Saccharomyces cerevisiae S288C: one gene and its partners. Changing the gene in region 4 together with the main gene of any one other region gives a genetic interaction. Each region holds a gene or a part of one and is shown on either strand. Other genes may lie near its edges. The genes, in order: SCS2, CLB4, STU1 and LDB18.

The links.
Region 1: mutations in LDB18 (region 4) and SCS2 together harm fitness more than expected from each alone (negative genetic interaction), as found in Saccharomyces cerevisiae (4 studies listed by BioGRID, with this or other methods).
Region 2: mutations in LDB18 (region 4) and CLB4 together harm fitness more than expected from each alone (negative genetic interaction), as found in Saccharomyces cerevisiae (4 studies listed by BioGRID, with this or other methods).
Region 3: mutations in LDB18 (region 4) and STU1 together harm fitness more than expected from each alone (negative genetic interaction), as found in Saccharomyces cerevisiae (4 studies listed by BioGRID, with this or other methods).

What each region holds. Positions count from the first base shown.
Region 1 is NC_001137.3:398,293-403,699, reverse strand, and holds SCS2 (phosphatidylinositol-binding protein SCS2), read right to left. Parts: upstream 2,566-5,407; coding exon 1,831-2,565; downstream 1-1,830. Other genes in the region: GLO3 (ADP-ribosylation factor GTPase-activating protein), read left to right, coding at 1-829; YER121W (uncharacterized protein), read right to left, coding at 981-1,325; AVT6 (aspartate/glutamate transporter), read left to right, coding at 2,858-4,204; osmosensor SHO1, read left to right, coding at 4,645-5,407. UniProt on the Saccharomyces cerevisiae protein: Acts as an endoplasmic reticulum (ER) membrane anchor for cytoplasmic proteins via binding to the FFAT motif of targeted proteins. Regulates phospholipid biosynthesis by modulating the subcellular localization of the transcriptional repressor OPI1.
Region 2 is NC_001144.5:559,545-563,890, reverse strand, and holds CLB4 (B-type cyclin CLB4), read right to left. Parts: upstream 1,884-4,346; coding exon 501-1,883; downstream 1-500. Other genes in the region: ATG38 (Atg38p), read left to right, coding at 1-99; PNP1 (purine-nucleoside phosphorylase), read left to right, coding at 2,159-3,094; GTPase-activating protein SEC13, read right to left, coding at 3,447-4,340. UniProt on the Saccharomyces cerevisiae protein: Essential for the control of the cell cycle at the G2/M (mitosis) transition. Interacts with the CDC2 protein kinase to form MPF. G2/M cyclins accumulate steadily during G2 and are abruptly destroyed at mitosis.
Region 3 is NC_001134.8:152,398-161,457, forward strand, and holds STU1 (Stu1p), read right to left. Parts: upstream 5,993-9,060; coding exon 1,451-5,992; downstream 1-1,450. Other genes in the region: DNA-directed DNA polymerase alpha subunit POL12, read right to left, coding at 1-1,213; RIB1 (GTP cyclohydrolase II), read right to left, coding at 6,259-7,296; HEK2 (Hek2p), read left to right, coding at 7,787-8,932.
Region 4 is NC_001144.5:37,846-43,122, reverse strand, and holds LDB18 (Ldb18p), read right to left. Parts: upstream 2,458-5,277; coding exon 1,918-2,457; downstream 1-1,917. Other genes in the region: bile acid-transporting ATPase YBT1, read left to right, coding at 1-1,843; COF1 (cofilin), read left to right, coding at 2,709-2,722, 2,902-3,319; FRE6 (putative ferric-chelate reductase), read left to right, coding at 3,652-5,277. UniProt on the Saccharomyces cerevisiae protein: May be involved in protein-linked oligosaccharide phosphorylation since the deletion reduces the negative charge of the cell surface.

The DNA of each region.
Region 1 (5,407 bases), on a different chromosome or scaffold from region 4:
CTTAACGGCTAGCAGAAAGAAACCGGTATTAAACTCGCAAGATAAAAAGAAACATTCAATTTTGTCTTCGTCAAGAAAGCCCACTAGACTAACCGCAAAGAAAGTCGACAAATCACAGGCAGAAGACTTGTTTGATCAATTTAAAAAAGAGGCTCAACAAGAAAAGGAGGACGAGTTCACTAATTCGTCTTCTAGCACCAAAATTAGACAAAATGATTACGATTCCCAATTTATGAATAACAGTAAAGGCAACAATAATAACAGTATAGATGATATTAATACCCAGCCTGATGAATTCAATGATTTTTTAAATGACACTTCAAACAGCTTCGACACAACTAGAAAAGAACAGCAAGATACTTTAACACCCAAGTTTGCCAAATTGGGATTTGGTATGACCATGAATGACGCCAATGATTTGGCAAAGCAACAAAAAGAATCTCAGAAAATAGCTCAGGGACCAAGATATACGGGCAGAATCGCGGAAAGGTACGGCACACAAAAAGCTATATCATCTGATCAATTATTTGGTCGTGGCTCATTTGATGAAGCAGCAAACAGGGAAGCGCATGACAAGTTGAAAACATTTGACAATGCTACATCAATTTCCTCTTCTTCATACTTTGGAGAAGATAAAGAAGTGGATGAATTTGGTAATCCCATCAATAGTAGTGGAAGTGGAGCAGGGAATTTTGATGGCCGTAATTCTAATAACGGTTTCATCGATTTTAATGCCTCCGCAGATGATGAATTGCAGATGTTGAGAGACGTTGTAGAACAGGGTGCTGAAAAACTCGGTAGTTATTTAAGGGACTACTTAAGAAAATAAGTTTAATTTTCTCTTTAATTGAATTTTTTTTTTTTCATTGTTATCATTGTTTTTTATTCTCATTTTTCATTATATGATAATTATATTTATGGTACATAGAAACGGTTGTATATGCATTGTACGTGCGTTTATTCTTATTCTTCATCCCCCCTTATCTTAGTTTAAGGTTTCTAAAATCGAAAGTTTCATGTGCGTATGAAGCGGTTGAAAATGCAGACGAGGTAGCATTTGGTTCATTAGCATTATAAACACTTTGCTTTAAAGAAGGTAAGTTATTTTCGACATCTCTGTTTCTAATTGCTTCATCGTCCACATAGGGAGAGTCTATACCCACTTTCCAAAACGAGTTCATTACTTGATTACCATATTCGTTAGAAACACTTGCATTTAAACTATCACTTGCCGCAAGGGCGTAGTAGTGCGCATCCTGTTGCATTTCTTCGCTCTTTTCCTCTGCTGGCCTTGAATTCTTGTCGTGCCAGCGCGATAAGCCCATGTTACTATATTGTCAATATGTGAGTCCCTCGTTCACTATGAGACCTAGCAAAAAACAAACTGAAAGTAGGTGGCTGTTTATGTATTCATTTATTTATGGACCTTTTAGGCGCGACCCCCTCGCAAGATCTTCGTTAATGTGCATCCAAGACCCTCCCCTCATTTAGTAGACCCCGCATTGTTATGGTTAATAACGGATAGTTATTTGCCCAAGATAGCGCCTACTACACTAGGGAAACCGAACATGAATAAATTAAACAAGTAATATGTTACAACAGTGGTATAGTTATCGATTATTCTCCTATTTAAAAAATAAAACATATAAAAAAGTTAGGAAAGTATGATCTTTTAGTTCCTTGTTCTAGTATTGTAAAGGCTACAGAAGGAAACAATAAAAAAAGATTGTAGAAAAACAAAGTAAAATAAAGACTGAAAGGAAGGAAAGGGCAAAACACACACATATATAAATATATATTTAGAATACAGCTATATCCTCAATCTCCCTATTATCTGTAGAACCATCCTAAAACCAAGATAAGGAGTGCAACCAATATGAATATACCCATGCTGGATGATTCATTTTCTGCAGGTACGGTTGCGGCTTCCTTTATCTGGTTCTGTGGGGCCGGAGTGCTGTTGGACGTTTGCTTCTCATTTTCATGAGGAACGGTTTTCTGAACGACAGGTGGGACCTCTTCTTTCTTTACTTGGACGGGAGGTTGAGTTTCCGGTTCAGCAGGGACCTCCTTTTCGTTTACCACAGCAGGCACTTCCTTTGGCTCACTGTCTTGGACTACTGGTTCAACAGTTTCCTTGTTTTCCTGTATATTTTGGTTCTGTGCTGGGTGTACATCTGGACTTATCAAATATTTGACTTTTATCTTTTTAGAGATAGCCTGTTGCTTGAACTCAGCCTCCAAGTCGGACCAAACATCTGCAACAGCCTTGCCATTGAGGTCGTAAGGAGAAGGCAACGTGATAACCAGGAACTTGTCACGGCACTTAAAGTCTGCGGCAGGCTCTTCAGTCAAACCCAGGAAGATAACTTGAACCTGGATTGTTTCACCTGGAGCAACAACTGCGGCGTTTGGTCTCACGCAGTAAAACTTTGGGGCTGTGGTCTTGACCTTAAATGCAATGGTTTGGTCTGAATTGTTGGAAATACTAGCGTATTCTGTCGATTGCTCCGTTAATGGAGACTTATACACCAACACGTCAGGGGAAATTTCAACAGCAGACATACTTAGGTTCGCGGAGATTGTAGAATACCCTTCTGCTACACTATTAACACAGAATGTGCGTCAAACCACACCACACAATAAACAATGCACTTTGCTACTAAAACCATTCTATTCACCTTGCGAAAACAACAAGCGAAAAAAAAAAAGCGAGGGCGAAAGAGTAAGATCACCACGCACGTTTAGGGGATCGGAGAGCTTATCTATACAGCAACTAGAAGTATATAGAACAACAATGGTCGAACGACGGGTTAGTTTCACAGCTCAATAACCATAGAAAGGAATCGTGCATCATATGGTAGCTAGTATTAGATCAGGTGTGCTGACACTTTTACACACGGCGTGCGGTGCTGGTATCCTGGCCATGCCGTACGCATTCAAGCCGTTTGGATTAATTCCTGGAGTGATAATGATAGTGCTGTGTGGGGCGTGCGCTATGCAAAGCTTGTTCATACAAGCTCGTGTAGCTAAATACGTACCACAGGGGAGGGCCTCGTTCAGTGCTCTGACGCGGTTGATTAACCCAAATCTAGGTATTGTGTTTGACCTAGCGATCGCTATCAAGTGTTTTGGTGTGGGCGTCTCTTATATGATTGTAGTTGGGGATCTGATGCCCCAAATAATGTCTGTGTGGACCAGAAATGCTTGGCTGTTGAACAGGAACGTGCAAATTTCACTGATCATGCTTTTTTTCGTGGCCCCGCTGTCTTTTCTGAAGAAGTTGAATTCGTTGAGGTACGCTTCCATGGTGGCCATCTCTTCTGTAGCGTACTTGTGTGTTTTGGTGTTGTTGCACTATGTAGCACCATCAGATGAGATTCTTCGCTTGAAAGGCCGGATCTCCTACCTCCTGCCACCACAATCGCATGATTTGAACGTGCTAAACACTCTTCCAATTTTTGTCTTTGCCTACACATGTCACCACAATATGTTTTCAATAATCAATGAGCAGAGGTCAAGCCGGTTCGAGCATGTGATGAAGATTCCACTGATAGCAATATCTTTGGCTCTCATCTTATATATTGCGATCGGCTGTGCTGGATACCTGACATTCGGCGACAACATCATTGGAAACATTATCATGCTGTACCCGCAAGCGGTCTCGAGCACCATCGGCAGAATAGCGATTGTGTTGTTGGTGATGCTGGCGTTCCCACTACAGTGTCATCCTGCAAGAGCTTCAATCCATCAGATTTTGCAACACTTCGCCGAGGAAAATGTAAGTATAAGTGCTACATCGGCGGATGAACCCACTGTTGCTACCGAAAGTTCTCCGTTGATTCGCGACAGTAGCCTTGACCTCAATGAGGTAATTGAAGAAGAATCTATTTATCAGCCTAAGGAGACTCCATTGAGAGGCAAGAGCTTTATTGTTATAACGTGCAGCATTTTAGTTGCATCATATCTTGTCGCCATTTCGGTTTCCTCCTTGGCCCGTGTACTGGCCATTGTTGGGGCCACAGGCTCCACTTCTATTTCTTTCATTCTGCCCGGGCTCTTTGGCTACAAGCTTATAGGAACTGAGCACAAGACAGCCGTGCCATTGACGACAAAGATTTTCAAATACACAGGTCTTCTCTTGTTTATCTGGGGGCTAATAATCATGATCACCTGCCTGACCGCAGCTTTGAAGCTAAACTAAATAAGCAAGAGTATACTCATTCTTTTTTTGCTATTCCTCCATACGTACATAGACCCTTGAACCTACATATCCGCGTAAGAAACTATTAATAACCTAGCACCTGCGTTAAATCAGAAATTCTTAATCGCGTTTTACATTCCCAACGCGTTCAATCTATTTACACACAACAGCTTTCGGAGTCGGGCTTTTGCTTCATACGTATTATAAAAATTTCAGCGATTGCTGAAATATGCAAAGAACACAGGAACACGAATAAAGTCATTGAGCCTCGTTTTCAGTGAGGTATCATTGTCTATCATATCAGCTTTCTTTGCTCAACAGAATCGCTAAAAGAAAGGGCGTGTTATTAACAGTAGCCAACCCAATAATTTGAAAACAACATTGGACATTATAGATCAACGCCATCTTTTCAGAAACACCAAAAATCACGTTTTCAAAATATGTCAATATCATCAAAGATAAGACCAACTCCTCGTAAACCTTCACGTATGGCTACCGACCATTCTTTTAAAATGAAAAAATTTTATGCCGATCCTTTCGCTATATCATCAATTTCTTTGGCAATTGTATCGTGGGTCATCGCCATCGGGGGCTCCATCTCATCTGCATCCACCAATGAATCCTTCCCACGTTTTACTTGGTGGGGTATAGTATACCAATTTCTAATTATTTGTTCTTTAATGCTGTTCTATTGTTTTGATTTAGTCGATCATTACAGAATCTTCATCACCACATCTATTGCAGTGGCATTTGTGTATAATACAAACAGTGCAACGAATTTAGTGTATGCGGATGGTCCCAAGAAAGCTGCTGCTTCAGCAGGTGTCATCTTACTTTCCATCATAAATTTAATCTGGATTCTGTACTACGGCGGTGATAATGCTTCCCCAACCAATAGATGGATTGATTCGTTTTCCATTAAGGGTATCAGGCCTTCGCCATTAGAGAATTCTCTTCATAGAGCTCGTCGAAGAGGCAATAGGAACACAACGCCTTACCAAAATAATGTCTATAATGATGCTATACGAGACTCAGGCTACGCGACACAGTTTGATGGATATCCACAGCAGCAACCTTCTCACACAAATTATGTATCTTCTACGGCATTGGCTGGTTTTGAGAATACTCAGCCAAATACTTCAGAAGCCGTTAATCTTCACTTGAACACTCTACAACAACGTATCAATAGCGCAAGCAACGCGA
Region 2 (4,346 bases), 520 kb from region 4:
GAAAATAAAAAATTGGCTAATGAAATTGGGCGATTAAGAGAACGCTGGGACAGCTTAGTAGAAAGTGCGAAGCAAAGAAGGGATAAGCAAAAAAACTAGACGAATAAGGTAATTTCTTTTCAAGATACGAAGTATCGTCTTTTAACTTAGTTGGAGTATGTGATTGCTGCTCTTCTACTGCGAATGCCGCTTACCTGGAGGCATAGGGCACATATATCAAACCCTCCAGAATTGAATTTTGCCCTGAGGCTGCTTGAAGATTGTCAAATAAAGATTCGGTCAAAAAGAGGATGATATAAACTTGGGTGGACCATCGGGGTGTTAACTGAAACGGAATCAAGGATGCATTCATATATATATCTATATATATATATATGTGTGTATATGTGTATGTGTGTGTGTGTGTGTGTGTGTAATATGATATATATCTTCTACCTGAATAAATGAAATATGATCCTTCCGAAACCAAAACTGAAGCAAATGGTGTTAAGATGAGTAAGTTAGGCTTCTGTCGAAACAATCCATTCTTCTACAATTTGAGAACAGCGGTAATGCTTTTGGTCAAAGTATTTTTTCCAAATTGAATGATGGCGTCGAGATGCGTTCTTGCAATTCTCCAATATCAGTGATGCTAAAGGAATTATTTGGCTGGATGTATAGCCAGAGTAGAATACATGTTTTAAAGACCAATCATTTGAACCAAGAATTGTTCTGCTCAGAAAATACGCGCCAGCAGCTAACCAGCTTGGTGCCGCAGCCACTAGTTTGGGTTCTACTATTGTAGTTTCCAATAAGTACTTTGCTAATGTTCTTGGTTCGAAGTCATAGTCATCTGCTTTACTTATCCTTCTTAAAAATGGCATGGGTCCTGGCCAACCTATTTCAAATTCCAGAGTATCTATCATATACTGTTCCGCTCTAATAATGTCATCTCTAGTGTATGTATTTTCCAGCATGTAAACTAGATCATCCAAAGTGGGGCAGTTAATCTCTTCAAACTTGGCAGCAATAAATAAAGCCGATACACCAACCAATTGAAACCTGTTCAAAGTAACGGTCTTCTTTGACAGAAATCTATCCACTATATTAATCGTCAGGTATAGCGTTTCTGGTAAAAGTTGAAATCTAAAATGCAGTTGAACTAGCCAATCTATCATAGTTCGTCTGAACGGCCATGTAAGCTCTACTTGATTTTGCATATAGTAGGGATTAGGCCTATATTTCACTTCAAGTTCTCTCAAGTAATAGAATATGTCGGAAGCGTACTCCACAACCATCACAACATCATGGGTATCATCATCCAGCGGATTGGGAACCGACCGAAAATATTTTTCAAACGCCCTGTCCAGCTCAGTCTGAATTTCATCGTTGTTTATTGGTGATAGTGGTTCAATTTGACTATCAACATCCTCTTCAATGACATCTTGCATTTCTCCATCGAAATCTTCATACACTTCATCGGCTTGAATCTGCTGATCATTTACTCTTCGACTTAACAAATCATCAATAGCATCTTCATTAACTTGTTCGTCATCAGTAGAAGAGCCTTCAGAACTATCAATTAAAAAATAGTCGCTATCTTCATGCCTTACGTCTCGTTGTTGTTCTTTTACCAAGGCCGATGAGCGTATGTTCTCTATTTCAAAATTGTTCTTCGTCTGATGGAATTTATTATGTATAGCATTGTGTATTTTGTTTGCCTTTTGAGAGGTTACATCACCTAATGCAACCCTCCTTTGTCTTTTTTCTAGCCTTTTTATACCCTTTTGAACTCCTTGGTAAAGTACGTTCTTAACTTCTTGGTTTGCATTTTCGTCCTGAATTTCAATGTCACCTATCAAAGTAGACTGTGGAGGTTGTACCGTATACCCTTCAAGCATCATCTGTCAATTTCCTTGTTTGATCAGGGCAGCCTAGTATCCGGTATAGTAAGCAGTTTCCCAAATACGACGTTAATTATCAAAGAATTAAAACTTTATGCGGCCACAATAAATAAATATCTTTCTGATGTTTCCATTGTTTTTGTTTTTGTTTCAGTGTTTACAAAGCGCAAAGAAAAGGAAAATCTCGAAGCAGAGGGCAGATAGGGCAGGCATAACTTTAGGATAATCTTGCTAATCTTCTAGAACACATGAGAAACTCCGAATAAACTTAAAAGATGAGTGATATCTTGAACGTAAGTCAACAACGTGAAGCAATTACCAAGGCCGCTGCGTATATTTCTGCTATTTTAGAACCACATTTCAAAAATACAACAAATTTCGAGCCTCCGAGAACTTTGATTATATGTGGTTCAGGGCTTGGTGGAATATCTACCAAGCTGTCTAGAGACAATCCACCCCCGGTAACAGTCCCATACCAAGACATCCCAGGATTCAAGAAAAGTACGGTTCCAGGTCATTCCGGTACACTAATGTTCGGATCTATGAATGGTTCACCAGTAGTATTAATGAATGGTCGTCTTCATGGATATGAAGGCAACACATTGTTTGAGACTACTTTTCCTATTAGAGTGCTTAACCACATGGGTCATGTTCGTAATTTAATTGTCACTAATGCCGCTGGTGGTATAAACGCGAAATATCAAGCCTGCGATTTGATGTGCATTTATGATCATTTAAATATCCCTGGCCTTGCTGGCCAGCACCCATTGAGAGGTCCTAACTTGGATGAAGATGGACCTCGTTTTTTAGCCTTGAGTGATGCATATGATCTGGAGTTGAGGAAGCTTTTATTTAAGAAATGGAAAGAGCTCAAGATTCAAAGGCCACTGCATGAAGGTACTTATACTTTTGTATCTGGACCCACTTTCGAAACAAGAGCAGAATCCAAAATGATAAGGATGTTGGGAGGAGATGCTGTCGGAATGAGTACTGTTCCCGAAGTCATTGTTGCAAGACATTGCGGATGGAGGGTTTTGGCCTTAAGTTTGATTACCAATACTTGCGTGGTGGATAGCCCTGCCAGTGCGTTGGACGAATCACCTGTACCCTTAGAAAAAGGCAAAGCGACTCACGCTGAAGTACTGGAGAATGGTAAAATCGCCTCTAATGACGTGCAAAACTTAATTGCTGCCGTAATGGGGGAATTATAATTGTTATAACTTAAATACCTCTATTTATTACATAGCGGGAAGATGTACCTTCGGCCGGTAGAATAATTTCGCCTGTTCTATTGAAGAAAAACAGTCTTATATATCTATTGTATATACGTCGATTATTTTTGTTCGCTTGTTTTTGTATAAGAAATATCTATGACAATATTAATATAAGAAGTTGCAAAAAAAAAACAAAGAAAAAAGTTGAAAAGTTTTTGAAAACTTCCACAAATCTTTAATTGTTATACGTTACTGTACATTATGCGTTTATTTCCCTTCAAATTCGTCGATAGACTCATTTGCATTCTTTTTTCTTTTGAGATGTTTCATTTTAAATTCTTGATACTCTTCACTGATGAACTTCACCAGCGGGTTCCCATTTACCCTCAAGATTTTCCTTCCATAAAGTAACTTTATTATCGCCACCGGAAAGAGCTAGTACATTACCTGACAAAGACCAACTGGCTCTCCATAAAACATCTGGGAATTTTTCTTCTTTTAATAAAGTTTTTTTCCATGGGCCTTGTTCATTGTCTTGAGTCCAAATAATACAGGTGCGATCTTGAGAAACACTGGCCAAATAAGAACGTAGAAGAACAGTAGGTGACCATGCTACGTCTCTAACCCAATCGCTGTGACCTTCTAAGGTGCTTTCCAGAACATAAGTTTGGGCATCTGAATTGTACTTCCAAATCTTTACCAAATTGTCAGCACCCCCAGTAACAAACTTGCGAGATTCTTTAGTACCGTTGTGTTCACCATCTTCTTCGATGGTAGCTGGAGCCCAAGAAGCAGAGTTAACGCCAATGGCATGAGCATCGATGATTATTGGGGAAGTAGTACCGTTTTCTTTGAACTCTACTACGGAGACCTTACCATCAGAGGAAGCAACCAGCAGTAGGGGGCCATATTCATGAGGAGCCCATTGAACAGAGTTGACAGAAGCAGAGTGGACAGCATGAACGGCAATTTGAGACCATCTACCGTTTTCTTCCTTCCAAATCAACACTTTACCATCATAAGAACACGATGCCAAAATGGTTCCGAATTTAGGATGTGCCCAATCAACACGCCAAACTGGGCCTTCGTGGCCAGTCAACGTGTCTATTAACTTGTGTGTTTCTCCTTCGACTTCAAAGATCTTGATTGTCTTGTCAGAAGAGCAGGTTGCAAGGCGCTTCCCATAATAGTCTAGAACAGCGTCATGGATTAATTCGTTGTGCGCATTAGCTATGACGACCATTTGTAT
Region 3 (9,060 bases), on a different chromosome or scaffold from region 4:
TTGCAAAGTATGGGCCACAGGTCACGATAACCTTCAAAGAAGAACCTTCCAAATTTGCTTGAAACTCCTGCAGTTCCTGCGATGTGGACACTGGGGAGTTTGGATAAGGTAGCGGCAAAATAGAGTTAACGGTGAAGTAATCCCCATTAGCATTTTTACCTTTGAATGCCACAATTTGGCCTAAGAAAAACGAAAGCTCGTTGACCTGCGATAGATCTAACCTTACCCTTCTTCCAACGCCGCCCATTCTTGAGGTCTCTAGGGAAAGCGATTCTGGATTCAAAAACTTGTCGTAGGTCGGCGAATCTGGAACTATCCTTCCAACAGCATAAATTTCGGACTGAGATTGAATAGTTGGATCAGCGAAGTCGTTTGGAGATAACTTATAGTGATTTTGAATAATCTTAGTAAACGATTCAATTTGATCATCGAGGACATCAGACGCTTCCTGTAAGTTTTGCCTCATTGTTCTGAATTTATACTTTTTAGCATCATAAAATGGTTCTACTTTGACCTGGTTATATGATGGTTCTTCAGTCGAAAGAAGGCCTACATTTGGATTACCAGATGATATTTCAATATTTTCAGGGTTCAAAGAATCCAAAATTTCACCAGCAGGAACATTTTGCCTCGATGTGGTAGGAGTGTTTGTTGTTGGAGTTTGGAATGTCGACGAGCCGGGAGTCTTGGCATCCGAGCTTTTAGCGTGGGACAATGGAGCACTGTCACCCACAGCATCTTCTGCCATGCCTGGAGTAAACTCCAATTTTAAAGAACTATTTCCTTTTTCATTTGTTTCTGCCTCAGAGCCTACATTATATGTTTGCTTGGAATCACTGAGTGAAAAGGGACCATGTAACTTTCTTTTTTTTAAAGTCGGAGTCTTTGGAATACTAAGGCCAAACAAGGGACTTGAATTCAAACTTTTTTTAATCACTGGTTTTTTTGTGGATGTGTTTACCTTAGAGGACGATGAAATTTGGTTAGCACGCTTTTCCATTTGTAATTGTAAAAATTGTTTAAACTCATCTATGTTCTTGGAAGTCAGATCTGTGTGAGTTTGACGCCTTTGATTGGAGAACTGCTCCCATTTAATGTATAGATCCTCGACGGACAATGCATGCAGTTTAGTTAAATTCTCTAATGCAGTGATGATTTCCGGCTTGTCTGCATCAGGCCCAAAATGAGTGATGACATCGATAGATCCGCTCATTTTTTTTTTTTTCAGTCACTTGCTCCTGCCTAAATTTACCTTCAAGCTTTGTTGAACCAATTGACAATCAATTATCTTGATATTTTTATATGCAAATATATTATGTATATGAAACAAAATGTTATATGTGTCTACAAAGAGCTCATATTATTACAGTTTTAGAAAAGAGAAAGAACTAAGAAACTCTGGTGAGACGCGTCACGGTAAAAAAAAATTACGCGTCTACCACGCTATTCTCTATTCGTTTGAGGCGATGAACATGATCATTTTAAAGACATTCTTAGGCAAACAATCGAATAATCGTTCGGTTTCTTGCTCAGTATAATCTGGAGTAGTTTGGAGGACTCTCAAACAACGAGCTAATACCACGGCACTGGTGAAGTTCCACGAAGTATTATCAGTCCCCATAATGAAATAGCTCATTGTTTGGATAATCTCTGATATATTAGATTTCTTGAATTGTTGGCAAATGGTAGGAGATTGCAGCATCTTCCATAAGGTCTCAATTAAAAATGTTTCTTTCACACCAGCGGTGTCAGGCTGAATTTCAGTAACCAACATGCTTAGAATTCTTGTTGCCGAATGTTTTTTGAAAAAGTGCGATAACATTAGACTGTCCCTGAACTCTTGCGCTAATTTATAGATTTCGTTTCCATAATCAGAAAATTTATTAAGCATTAAAAGGATCTGTTCCCATACTTCTTCGAAACACATTCTCACCGAAACGCCATCATCGTCGGCATTCTCGCTTAGTGTATTTAGAAACTTTTTCCAAACCAAAAGACAATGAACGAGAATTATGGACTTACTGGATATTTTTGATGGAATTGAAGGCGTGTCATCAGTAGATTTCAAAAGCATAATAGCAACATCCAGTAGTTCATCAAAACCATTTTCATTCGTCAACCAATCGGTCATTTTTTGATTTTGAAAACAAGTAATCAAGGGTTCGATCAGGTAATTTATATGTTTCATAGTGAACGATCCACTTTTTATCCTGTTTATTGCCTTTGACATGTGATTGAAATAGACATCAAAATCCATCAAAGTGTTGCCATTAGAATCAACCATTAAAAGATGACTAATTTCATATACAGTCAAGGAATCCCTTGGGAAATTATCCATGATAAGCAAATGCATCTTCTCTGATTTTTTGTTATTAACTAGTTTCATCTTTTTGGAGTTTATGTCTTGTTCAGTTAGTGCTACGTCTCTTTCTCTCTTTACTGTGATCCTTTGCTTTTGACCCATATTCTCGTCCCCGTTTATTTTGATTGGTGACATTGTTTCCAAATCAGGCTTTTCATTCTCATTCCCATTTCCAATAAGTTTTTCTGGCTCATTTATTATCTTTGGAGGATCTGTACTGAATTTTACTGTTGGTTCATTATCGTCCTTCAATTTCCTTTCGGTATTTTCACCACTGTTTTGAAAAATTTCACTTAAATTCAAATCAGATTTTTGAGAATTTTCCATATCTATATCATCTTCCTCCTTTGCTGGGTTTGGCTGGTCCAGTTGATAAACACTTACTATTTTCGTCATTTCTGAAAGCTTTTTATCTTTGTCATTATCATCATGAATAACTACGCTGTCTGTGCTTGATGTTCTTTTTCCAACGTTATTCTTCAACTCTAGTGTTTTATCAGTTTCCAAGTTTTTGAAGGGATTAATCATTGTCATTTCCATGCATTTCTTAACATCATTTTCGTCTACAGCATCGTCGGATTCCTCATCCCCTTCAGATTTTTTATTGTCGATGGGAGTGAAGCTTACAGAACTTTCTCTAGAAATGATGTCTTCTACCTTAAAGTTGGCATCCTTCTTTTCAAGTTCATGACAGATTTTCATCTTGGTAGATACAATGTCAAAATCAGCTAGCAATTTATTAAAACGATTATTATCGAATTTATAAATTTCAAAAATTAGATTGAAATAACATGTGTAGTCAAACTCTTTACCGTAGATTTGAAAGAGTATCATTGATATTTTAGGCATGAGATCGTTCGTTCCTGACCTCAGAGTGTTATCATGTTTTATGTTCAAGTTACGGAAAATCTCTAAAAGTAACTTGAAATTATAATTGAAAAAAGTGGTTTTGTATTTCATATAGTATAGTTTGAAATCATTCGGACAATTATTGGCATTCAAGAAATTGAATAAATCCGCGATAGTTATAATCAAGTTAGTAAGCTCGTAGGGCTTTTCAGGATTCATTCTATTCTTTAAGATTTCCGCGTAATCAAAACTATTAATAGAATATAGCTCAATGAGGTAATTTAAGGGAACTCCATTTGTAAACTTCTCTATACTCAAAAATGGCTTGAAATCATTTGGTGACTTTATCATAATTTGGCGTAGCTTTTTCATAATCATGGGAAATTCAAATTTTGGGGCTGATGATGACTGTTGCGATGTCAACAGTAACTCCTTTTGTAAATACTGTAAAGCATCTTTGATCTGAGCTGGAAACGAAGCATCATTGAATTTTTTGTAAAGGGTTTCATATTCACCAAGTTTATTACTGCCTTTTAATGAGATTGGAGAAGATGACATCGAAACATCATTTTTATCCATATATTTCTTTATCAACGGGTTAGAGTAACTATTTGATAACTCATCAGTCAAGTCGATTTGGTTTGACGGAAAGTCATCAAAATTTGTGTAATTTTCAGATACTTTTGTGGCGGCAGTAGAAGAAGGAGGGGCACTAACTTTTCTTTTAGTAACATTATTATTATCTTTGGTGTTGCTGTTTGAAACAGAGTTCATACTGTCATGATGCCTTGCCCTTTTTTCATTTTCTTTACTTGAATATTCACTAGTAGACCTTAAGTTTGTTTTCAGCTTATTTGATAGTTTACTGGCTATGACACTTCCACCAGCTGTGACTGCAGGAGCGTTGAGTAGGGAGGTGGAGGAAGATTGAGTCGGTTGGGCATAACTTGGATAGTTCCTTTTCTGCTCCAGTAAACTGGTTTTTCTTGAAGAATTATTCGAAGAGTGAGAGTACAATCGAGACGTTGCAGAGGAGGCGGAGGCAGTAGAGGACACCCTGGAAACTTGATAGTTTATATTCAAATGAGCAGGGATTGCCAATTCTGTTGCTTTTTTCAACTGTGGAGAAAAGGAAGAACTCAATAATCTTTTGGCATTTGTAGGATAACATTTGTAGAAATACCAAAAAGTTAACCTCATTGCCTCTCTAACGGTTGTCTGTGAATCTGAAATGCCCTTTTTTAGCCATTCTTCGATGTATATGATGTTATTCTCCAACTTTGAGGTTGGCGAAGTTGTATTTGAATTGTTGAGCGAAAGATTGGAGTCGTTGAACTTAATCAGGAAGCTACGCAGCAGTATTGCAGAGCAAAATCTCGGTGTTACGGTTTTCTCATTTATTAATAAAAAAGATAATTGGAATAGTTTATTATGGAAATGATTTATATCAATGATCAAAGTAATTAAACAATGAAATGCAGTTTGTGAAGAGATTTTCTTGGTAGATGATAACAAGTTCTTGAAAATGACAAATATTTGGTCCAATATTGATAGGGGCAACTGATCGTTTAGGATATGGATTAGCCTCTTGAGGAAAAGTAATGCAGTTAATGATAACGTTGTCCTCAACGACGAGGTAGCTCTTGAAATCAACTCAATCAACTGCACCTCCTTTATTACAGTGACAAATTCCTCTGGATTATCTTTGGGAATGTTGCCGGATATAATGTTGTCTAATTCAATTATATTTGATTGCCTTAGCTTCCAATTTTGTTCTGTTTCCTTTACACTTTGGAACGGTGCCAACAAATTCTCCAAGTCTTGTTGTAATTGGTTCAAAGACTCATAGTTTTTTTTCATCGCTGGGTCTTTACTGCTCAAGTTGTTTGATAACTGCGGCAATTTCGCTTCGGCTAATAGTAATTGAAACTCGTACTCTTCGTCAAACAAGGTCGATTTATCTTCTTGTGAACCATGCTGGTCCTGTGACTTTGCTAAACTTATGAATTTTTGCTTGAATTTCTCAACTTCTAAATCGTTAATAAATCCATCTATCAGATCCTGTGAATTTTCGTCATCCATTTTCAAATACTTGTACATTATATCGAAAATAAGCTCTATTATTACATTATTGTTATCATCGTTTGCGTGTTCATTTAGGTTGTTATTTAAAAGGTTGGTGAAAGACAGCATGAAAAACCTCAGTAGTTGCAAATGATTTGAATTATTTTTCTCGTTGATCTGGATCAACTCATCGATGGTCAATAATGTAGATTTTATCCTATTCAGGTAATCTCCGTTTTGGTTTTCACTTGGTCTTCGCAAGAAATTTGCTAGAATAGCTTGGATCTTCGATGGATTAACCAAATAAATGGCTTCAATGGCTTTAATGGAAGCCAGCCAAAATTTCTTCTCATTAGGCAACTCGAAAATTAAGTGGTTTAGTAATTGCTCAACTAGAGTGTCATTGAATTGTACTGGAGACTGCATGGCCACACGTTTGATAAGGTAACAAAGCGAGGAATGTGATAGGAAGATTAACCGCGGGTACGAACGGTAAGCGTAATGGCCGGAGATGAACAGTAACGCAGCGAAATAAGCTTGGATCGACGATTCGTTAACTAGTTCCTTTTTTACATGTCCTTTGAACCGTGTAAGCAGTGCCATTTTTTCCTCGATGGGTACAGACTCGTCCTTGAATACGGTATACAAAGGGAAGGAATCGTCTGGATGTGTATTAGTGTTGCTGTTATTATTGGTCTCATTGTTGAAGGACGACATTATTTCTGAAGAATACAAGGTCTCTCCAAAAACCCTAATAATTACCGCTAAATATGCCTGTCAATCGGATGAAGGGAAGTTTCAACCTCAAATGTAAATAAATAGATGTTTAGCGTTTTAGAATAAATAAGTAAATAATTTGATTTTCTATAAAGATGTTAATGCGCCAATACGCGCCGACGGGGTAACGCATTAAAATAACATGGTATTTTCGTTTCATTACAAAAAAAGCACTATATGTACTAATAATTATGCTACACTTGTGTTTATATTGCCAGCGTCGATGTTGATGACAACGCAGAGTTCATACGGTTTTGGTTTTGGGCTTCACTTGTCTCAGTAGGTTGAGGGTTTGTATGAAGTTTCAGAGGCTCCGTTAGTAAATGACCCATTCTTTCTATCTTGGTCCTGAGATAACCTTCTATCTCCTTGGAGTCTATGCCTTCACTGGAGTTTGTCCAGTGTATGGGTACCATAGGCACTCGTTCAACGCACTTAAGGTAAGGCGCATGATCTACCTGTTTTATCTTTTCCGGGTTATTTGTCAGCAGCCTGACATTACCGATGCCAAGATCCAGCAAAATAGCCTTACCCAGCGAGAAGTCCCTAGCATCCACGGGATGTTTCAGCATTAAGTTGGCCTGCACTGTGTCAGCACCTAAGTCTTGCAGGTTGTAGGCCTTGAGTTTCTCACCTAACCCGATGCCACGACCCTCTTGTCTTAGATACACGATAACACCATGGCCGTTTCCACCTTTGATGTTGCTTGTGGGTTCGTGGTCGCAAGCGATAAGCCTACCGGCCCTATCGAATTGTTCACCACAATCACAACGGGCGCTCCATGCGTTTTCACCGGTGTAACATTCAGAATGGATCCGTACCAGCGTGTCGTTATGGGCGTCCCATGTAGTGGCTTTGGAAGCTAATAACTCACCTGTACTATCATCAAACTCCAGAGCTAATCCGAGTCTATCGTCTTCGTCTGCCACAGTTCTGCCGGGATACAGTTTGCCAATATAAGCGCCCCTGATCATTCTATCTTGTTGCGTCTCGCACTGTCTTCTACGGAATAGCGAGCGCGACCGTATGTCTTCACCAAACACAATGGCTAGATGTTCCTTGTTGTCCCTGTTGTTACTGTAAAGATGTAAAAAGATATCCGGACCCTGTGTGGTTGGGATACGAGCTCTTGCGACACATTGTACTAGAGGCAAGCCGCCATCGCCGTTCCTGCCATCACCCGTACCACTAACCTCGTATTTGCTGCTATCCTGTTTACTGTTGTCGTAGTTATCTATGGTCATCCTGTAGGTTTGTTGTAGTTTTATGTACGCCACTTTTTGTAATGACTCAATTATTGTCCACGCCAGCACAGCAACTTCTTTATATATACTATAGCGGCGCTGGCGCTCACCCCACAAGAGCGTCCGACTAATTTCTGACAAATCGTAAAAAGAAAAAGAAAAACTCAAAGGAAAAAGAAAAAGTCTCACCCTACACAACTTGTTTTCAAAAACGGTATAGACCCTACTATTTCTGTTTTAGCCCTATGCTAAGTCTAGACATTACCCTATCCCTTTTAACGAAAGCCCTTTTGTTTTTTTTCTGTGTGTCCGGCCGCTCAGCCAAACAACAAACAAGACTATAATCTGGAGCATAAGTACCCGAGCATATATAACTACTTGGCATACGAAGTAAAAGCATATTGCTCCCCACTCCTATCGCGCGTCCCCTGTACAACAAAGCATCAACTTATCGGGTAACTTAGAGACAGCATTAGTATATATACCAGCCATGTCACAGTTCTTCGAAGCTGCTACTCCCGTTGCAATTCCCACAAACAATACCAACGGCGGCTCCAGTGATGCCGGCAGCGCCGCCACTGGCGGCGCCCCCGTTGTTGGCACCACCGCTCAACCCACCATCAATCACAGGCTTTTGCTGTCATTGAAAGAGGCTGCCAAGATCATTGGCACTAAGGGCTCCACCATCTCACGCATAAGAGCTGCAAACGCCGTCAAGATCGGTATTTCTGAAAAGGTGCCCGGTTGCTCTGACAGGATCCTGTCCTGTGCTGGGAACGTAATCAATGTGGCCAATGCCATTGGTGATATTGTTGACGTGCTTAACAAACGGAATCCCGAAAATGAGGACGCAGCTGAGGGCGAAGCGGAAGAGCACTACTACTTCCACTTTTTGAACCATATTTTACCAGCTCCCTCAAAGGACGAGATCAGAGATCTGCAGCAACTGGAGGACATCGGTTATGTGAGGCTCATTGTGGCCAATTCCCATATCTCATCGATTATCGGGAAAGCAGGCGCCACCATCAAGTCCCTGATCAATAAGCACGGCGTTAAGATCGTGGCTTCCAAGGACTTCTTACCTGCTAGCGACGAGAGAATTATCGAGATCCAGGGTTTCCCAGGATCCATCACCAATGTACTTATCGAAATTAGCGAGATCATCTTGAGTGACGTTGACGTCAGATTCAGCACAGAAAGATCTTATTTCCCTCATCTGAAAAAGTCCTCCGGTGAGCCAACTTCCCCTTCTACCTCATCTAACACTAGGATCGAATTGAAGATTCCAGAACTGTATGTAGGCGCCATTATTGGCCGTGGAATGAACAGAATTAAGAATTTGAAAACTTTCACAAAAACCAATATTGTCGTGGAAAGGAAGGATGACGATGATAAAGACGAAAATTTTAGAAAATTCATAATCACAAGTAAATTTCCTAAGAATGTCAAACTTGCTGAGTCCATGCTTTTGAAGAACCTGAATACTGAAATTGAGAAACGTGAAAACTACAAGAGAAAATTGGAAGCTGCCGAAGGAGATGCCACTGTTGTTACTGAACGCTCTGATTCTGCTTCTTTCTTGGAAGAGAAGGAAGAACCTCAAGAGAATCATGATAACAAAGAGGAGCAGTCGTAGTATATACGTGTGCGTGCGCACGTCCCACACAGACAAAACAAACTATCATCTTAACGAATAATGTTGCATCATTACTAGTTTAAACTGTATTTTTATTAAAGGGAAAAAAATGATTCAATATGTATATA
Region 4 (5,277 bases):
TGCCTGGGCGTCACACAATGTCATTGCTAAAATTATTCCCAGAGCACAACGCGCTATTGCATTTATCTCCAAGAAGGCTAGTCATCTAATTGATTGGAGGGGCTCGTCCCAAATCAGTATGGCGTCAGCTGAAAACCAACCTTCCAGTGGACACTCTACAATGTATTATCTGGTTTTGTACCTAATCATTGGTTTTGCTCAGGCTTTATTGGGAGCTGGTAAAACTATTTTAAATTTCGTTGCTGGTATCAACGCGTCAAGAAAGATATTTAATATGATTCTAAACAAGGTTTTACACTCCAAGATAAGATTTTTTGATGCTACTCCAACAGGTAGAATTATGAACAGGTTTTCCAAGGATATCGAAGCTATTGATCAGGAACTGACACCTTATATACAAGGCGCCTTCTATTCGCTTATTGAATGTTTATCCACCGTCATACTGATTACATTTATTACTCCACAGTTCTTATCTGTTGCTATAGTTGTTTCAATATTGTATTATTTTGTTGGGTATTTCTACATGGCAGGTTCTCGTGAATTGAAAAGATTTGAATCTATTTCTAGATCACCGATCTATCAACATTTTTCCGAGACTCTTGTCGGTGTTACCACCATTCGTGCGTTTGGTGATGAAGGGAGGTTTATGCAAGAGAATTTACACAAAATTGATGAAAATAATAAACCATTCTTCTACTTGTGGGTTGCTAATCGTTGGTTGGCCTTTAGGATAGATATGATTGGATCCTTGGTCATTTTTGGAGCTGGTTTGTTCATTCTATTCAATATTAATAATCTGGATTCGGGTATGGCTGGTATATCTTTGACGTATGCTATTTCCTTCACTGAAGGGGCATTGTGGTTGGTAAGATTGTACTCTGAAGTGGAGATGAATATGAATTCTGTTGAAAGAGTCAAAGAATATATGGAAATTGAGCAAGAGCCATACAACGAACACAAAGAAATACCGCCACCACAATGGCCACAAGACGGTAAAATCGAGGTTAATGATTTATCATTACGGTATGCTCCAAATCTACCTAGAGTAATTAAAAATGTTTCATTTTCTGTCGACGCTCAGTCTAAGATCGGTATTGTTGGTAGAACCGGTGCCGGTAAATCAACTATTATTACCGCCTTGTTCAGATTTTTGGAACCTGAGACAGGCCATATCAAAATTGATAATATCGATATTTCCGGTGTTGATTTACAAAGACTGCGTCGTTCTATAACTATTATTCCACAAGATCCAACACTATTCTCAGGGACGATTAAAACAAACCTAGACCCATATGATGAATTTAGTGACAGACAGATCTTTGAAGCTTTGAAACGTGTAAATCTAATTAGTGAAGAACAATTACAACAAGGCGCCACAAGAGAAACAAGCAATGAGGCTTCGTCGACTAACTCCGAAAATGTTAATAAATTCTTGGATTTAAGTAGTGAAATTAGCGAAGGTGGATCCAATTTGTCTCAAGGACAGCGCCAATTGATGTGCCTTGCTAGATCTTTACTGAGGAGTCCAAAGATCATATTGCTGGACGAAGCTACAGCGTCCATCGACTACAGTTCCGATGCGAAGATCCAAGAAACCATAAGAAAAGAGTTCCAAGGTAGTACAATTTTGACAATTGCACATAGGTTGAGATCTGTTATCGATTATGATAAAATTTTGGTGATGGATGCAGGTGAGGTAAAAGAGTATGATCACCCATATTCTTTGTTACTTAACAAACAAAGTGCCTTTTATAGCATGTGTGAGCATAGTGGAGAATTGGATATCCTAATTGAATTGGCTAAAAAAGCCTTTGTGGAAAAATTGAACTCTAAAAAGGACTAGCTGTTTCGATGCTAAAGTATATATATATATATATATATATATATATATATATATATGTATATACGCACACATGTTCACGTACTATAAATTACCTTTTGTAAATTCAACAGCCTCTTTTTCTGGAACTGGAAGAATCCGTTAACTTCAATATTCCAGTCGATGAAACGGTTTAGAATTGCAATTGACCTCAAAATCATTATGTTGCAGTTATCCACCAACTCGGGTAACTTCTTCAACTGTTTCGTTTCAATATTTGCGTCTTTGAAGGAAATCTGATCCAATGAACTTTTACTGATTTGGCAAAACTCCATATATTGGCTGTTTAGTTCGTCAAATGCACTATATAATGTATAAATATCGTCAAAGCAACTAGCAAAAATACAAATATCATCAGGAGCTCCCACGTTCTCGATGTCTTCAGCCATGAAAGTATTAAAGAGTTGCAGGAGATCTTGAGAATACTTTAGACCCTGGAAATATAGACGATGTAACTGATTGTATAGTTCATCTAATTGCACTGAAACATCGGAATTCGCGCTGTATCCGGCGCCTATAAGCCGCTCCAATCGGTCACACCTGTATTCTAAAGCTTCAACAAGCTTAAGACCAGGCATCAAACTTCCTTTGGTAGAGGCTAATGGCCTTGGAAGCTCGAGAGAACATTCTATAAGTTCATCAATCACTTATACTATATGCAGTACCTCTAAATTACCTAATATCCGGGTAATAAGAACAATATTCGGGTGACGCCGCCCCTGTTTGATGACAAAATTGGAAGAAAAAGAGGAAACAAGAAAAGACTGGTTAGCAACTACGTAAACTTCAGATTTCAAAACATACATAAACAAAAAACTAACAAAAGAAGATGTCTAGATCTGGGTATGCTAAATTTCATTTGTACTCCTGTGTAAACTATCAATTACTAACTAATTGACATGATGCTGTTTTATCTCGCTCTCTTATGTCCTTTCTTTCCTCCCTTTTTAACATGGAACTTTAAAAGGAATGTGGGGGAAAAAATTCATAAGAAGCCAGGAAAATGTGAAGTTTCTGTGTAGTGTTGCTGTTGCTGATGAATCCCTTACCGCTTTCAATGACTTGAAATTGGGTAAAAAATACAAATTTATTTTATTCGGATTGAACGATGCTAAAACCGAAATCGTTGTCAAGGAAACCTCTACTGACCCATCTTACGATGCCTTCTTAGAGAAATTGCCAGAAAACGACTGTCTTTACGCCATTTACGATTTTGAATACGAAATTAATGGTAATGAAGGTAAGAGATCCAAGATTGTTTTCTTCACTTGGTCTCCAGACACTGCTCCAGTCAGATCTAAGATGGTCTATGCATCCTCCAAGGATGCCTTAAGAAGAGCCTTAAACGGTGTCTCTACCGATGTTCAAGGTACTGATTTTTCCGAAGTTTCTTACGATTCTGTTTTGGAAAGAGTCAGCAGAGGCGCTGGTTCTCATTAAGGTAAATGATTTCACAAATGACAACAATCTTCAAGAAAAATGAAAATGTATATCTATATATAAAATCGTCATATATATACAGAATACATGTATAGAATTATTATAATTATAATTTTCTCTTCGCAACTCTATCTAAAACACAATACTTAGATTTAAGGTCCCGTACACCCCGGCTAGTGGGCATTGTTTTTGCACCCATATTTGTAATTCTAAATTCAGAACGGAAATACTGGCCATGTAGATCAAGAAAAGATACAAGGTCATCGAACCAGGCAGCAATGATTTTTCTATAATCTTCTAAAGTGAAGCATGACGACCATAGCTCGTTGAATATGCATAGAACGCTTCTGTTTTTAACGTGGCTGATATCTTTAACAAAGGCTTTTAATATAAAATTACCACACACTGAAAAAAAAGACCATTTGGAATCCAACGCTGTGCTGGCATGCGCATCCTATATAAATACTCTGAAGTGGTCATTTGATAGCTCCGTCGTACCGGGTTTCTATTCTACCATATGCTCTTATTCACCAGCGTTTGATACTTGGTCACTTTGTATCTTCAATTCGCTTACAGACCAGATTATTCCCATGGACAACACAAGTTTCGAAGAAAGCTTGGGTAACGTACGAAAAACGTGCTCGTTTGTCGATAAAAAGTTTAGCAATATTTCACTGGAGCAATACTACTCATCTTTAAATAATGCTTCTTCTCACGCTTTGGAAGACTATGGTTCTATTGAAAGTTTATCGACATCCATTCGAGTCGATCGTGAGACAAGATCTAGATGGATACGAGCTTTTCATGCGCATGCCTATAATTTAGATATCAGCAGTGTTTATGGTGCATATTTAACTTACTACTTCGTCATAGTGGGTATTATCGCCGTCTTCTTCCATATGAGTCACTATAACGGCCTGAATCGAGCGCTATTTGCAAGCCGGTTCGTCAATTATATTCGGGGCCATTTTGTGTTGCCTACGTTTTTAGTAGATAAGCACGCTAATCACTTCAAGTTTCTAAACGTGGAAGTCTTTACGGGACTGATGCCGAATTCCTTGGAGGCATGGATCATTTTTGGATACACATTGGCGAACATCATATTTTTGTCCATAAGTTACATCATAGACCCATATAACCTCATTTTCAACAGTCACCTGTCGCAGTTTACAAGACTGTTGGCTGATAGATCTGGGATACTGGCGTTTACTCAGTTCCCTCTCATTATCATTTTTACGGCAAGGAATAGTTTTCTCGAATTTTTAACAGGAGTCAAGTTCAATTCCTTTATTAGTTTCCATAAATGGATCGGTAGAATCATGGTCTTAAACGCAACGATACATTCGCTTTCTTATTCATTATTCGCAATTATCAACCATGCCTTCAAAATAAGCAACAAACAGCTCTATTGGAAGTTTGGTATTGCATCCATAACAGTGCTTTGCGTTCTACTAGTTCTATCGCTCGGAATAGTAAGGAAAAGACATTACGAATTTTTCCTGTACACCCACATCATACTAGCCCTTTTGTTCTTTTACTGTTGTTGGCAACACGTCAAAATTTTCAACGGTTGGAAAGAATGGATAGTGGTATCCTTGCTCATTTGGGGGCTGGAAAAGCTTTTCAGAATATGGAACATTTTGCAGTTTAGATTTCCGAAAGCAACACTAATCAATTTGAACACCAGCAACAACCCGCACGATGAAATGTTTAAAGTAATCATACCCAAATATAACCGGAGATGGCATTCGAAACCGGGTCAATATTGTTTCATTTATTTTTTACATCCATTGGTATTTTGGCAATGCCATCCATTTACCATTATCGACGAAGGTGAGAAGTGTGTTTTAGTGATCAAACCTAAAAGTGGTCTCACTAGATTCATTTATAACCATATTTTGCAATCTTTAAATGGTAAATTACAACTCCGAGTGGCCATTGAGGGACCTTATGGGCCC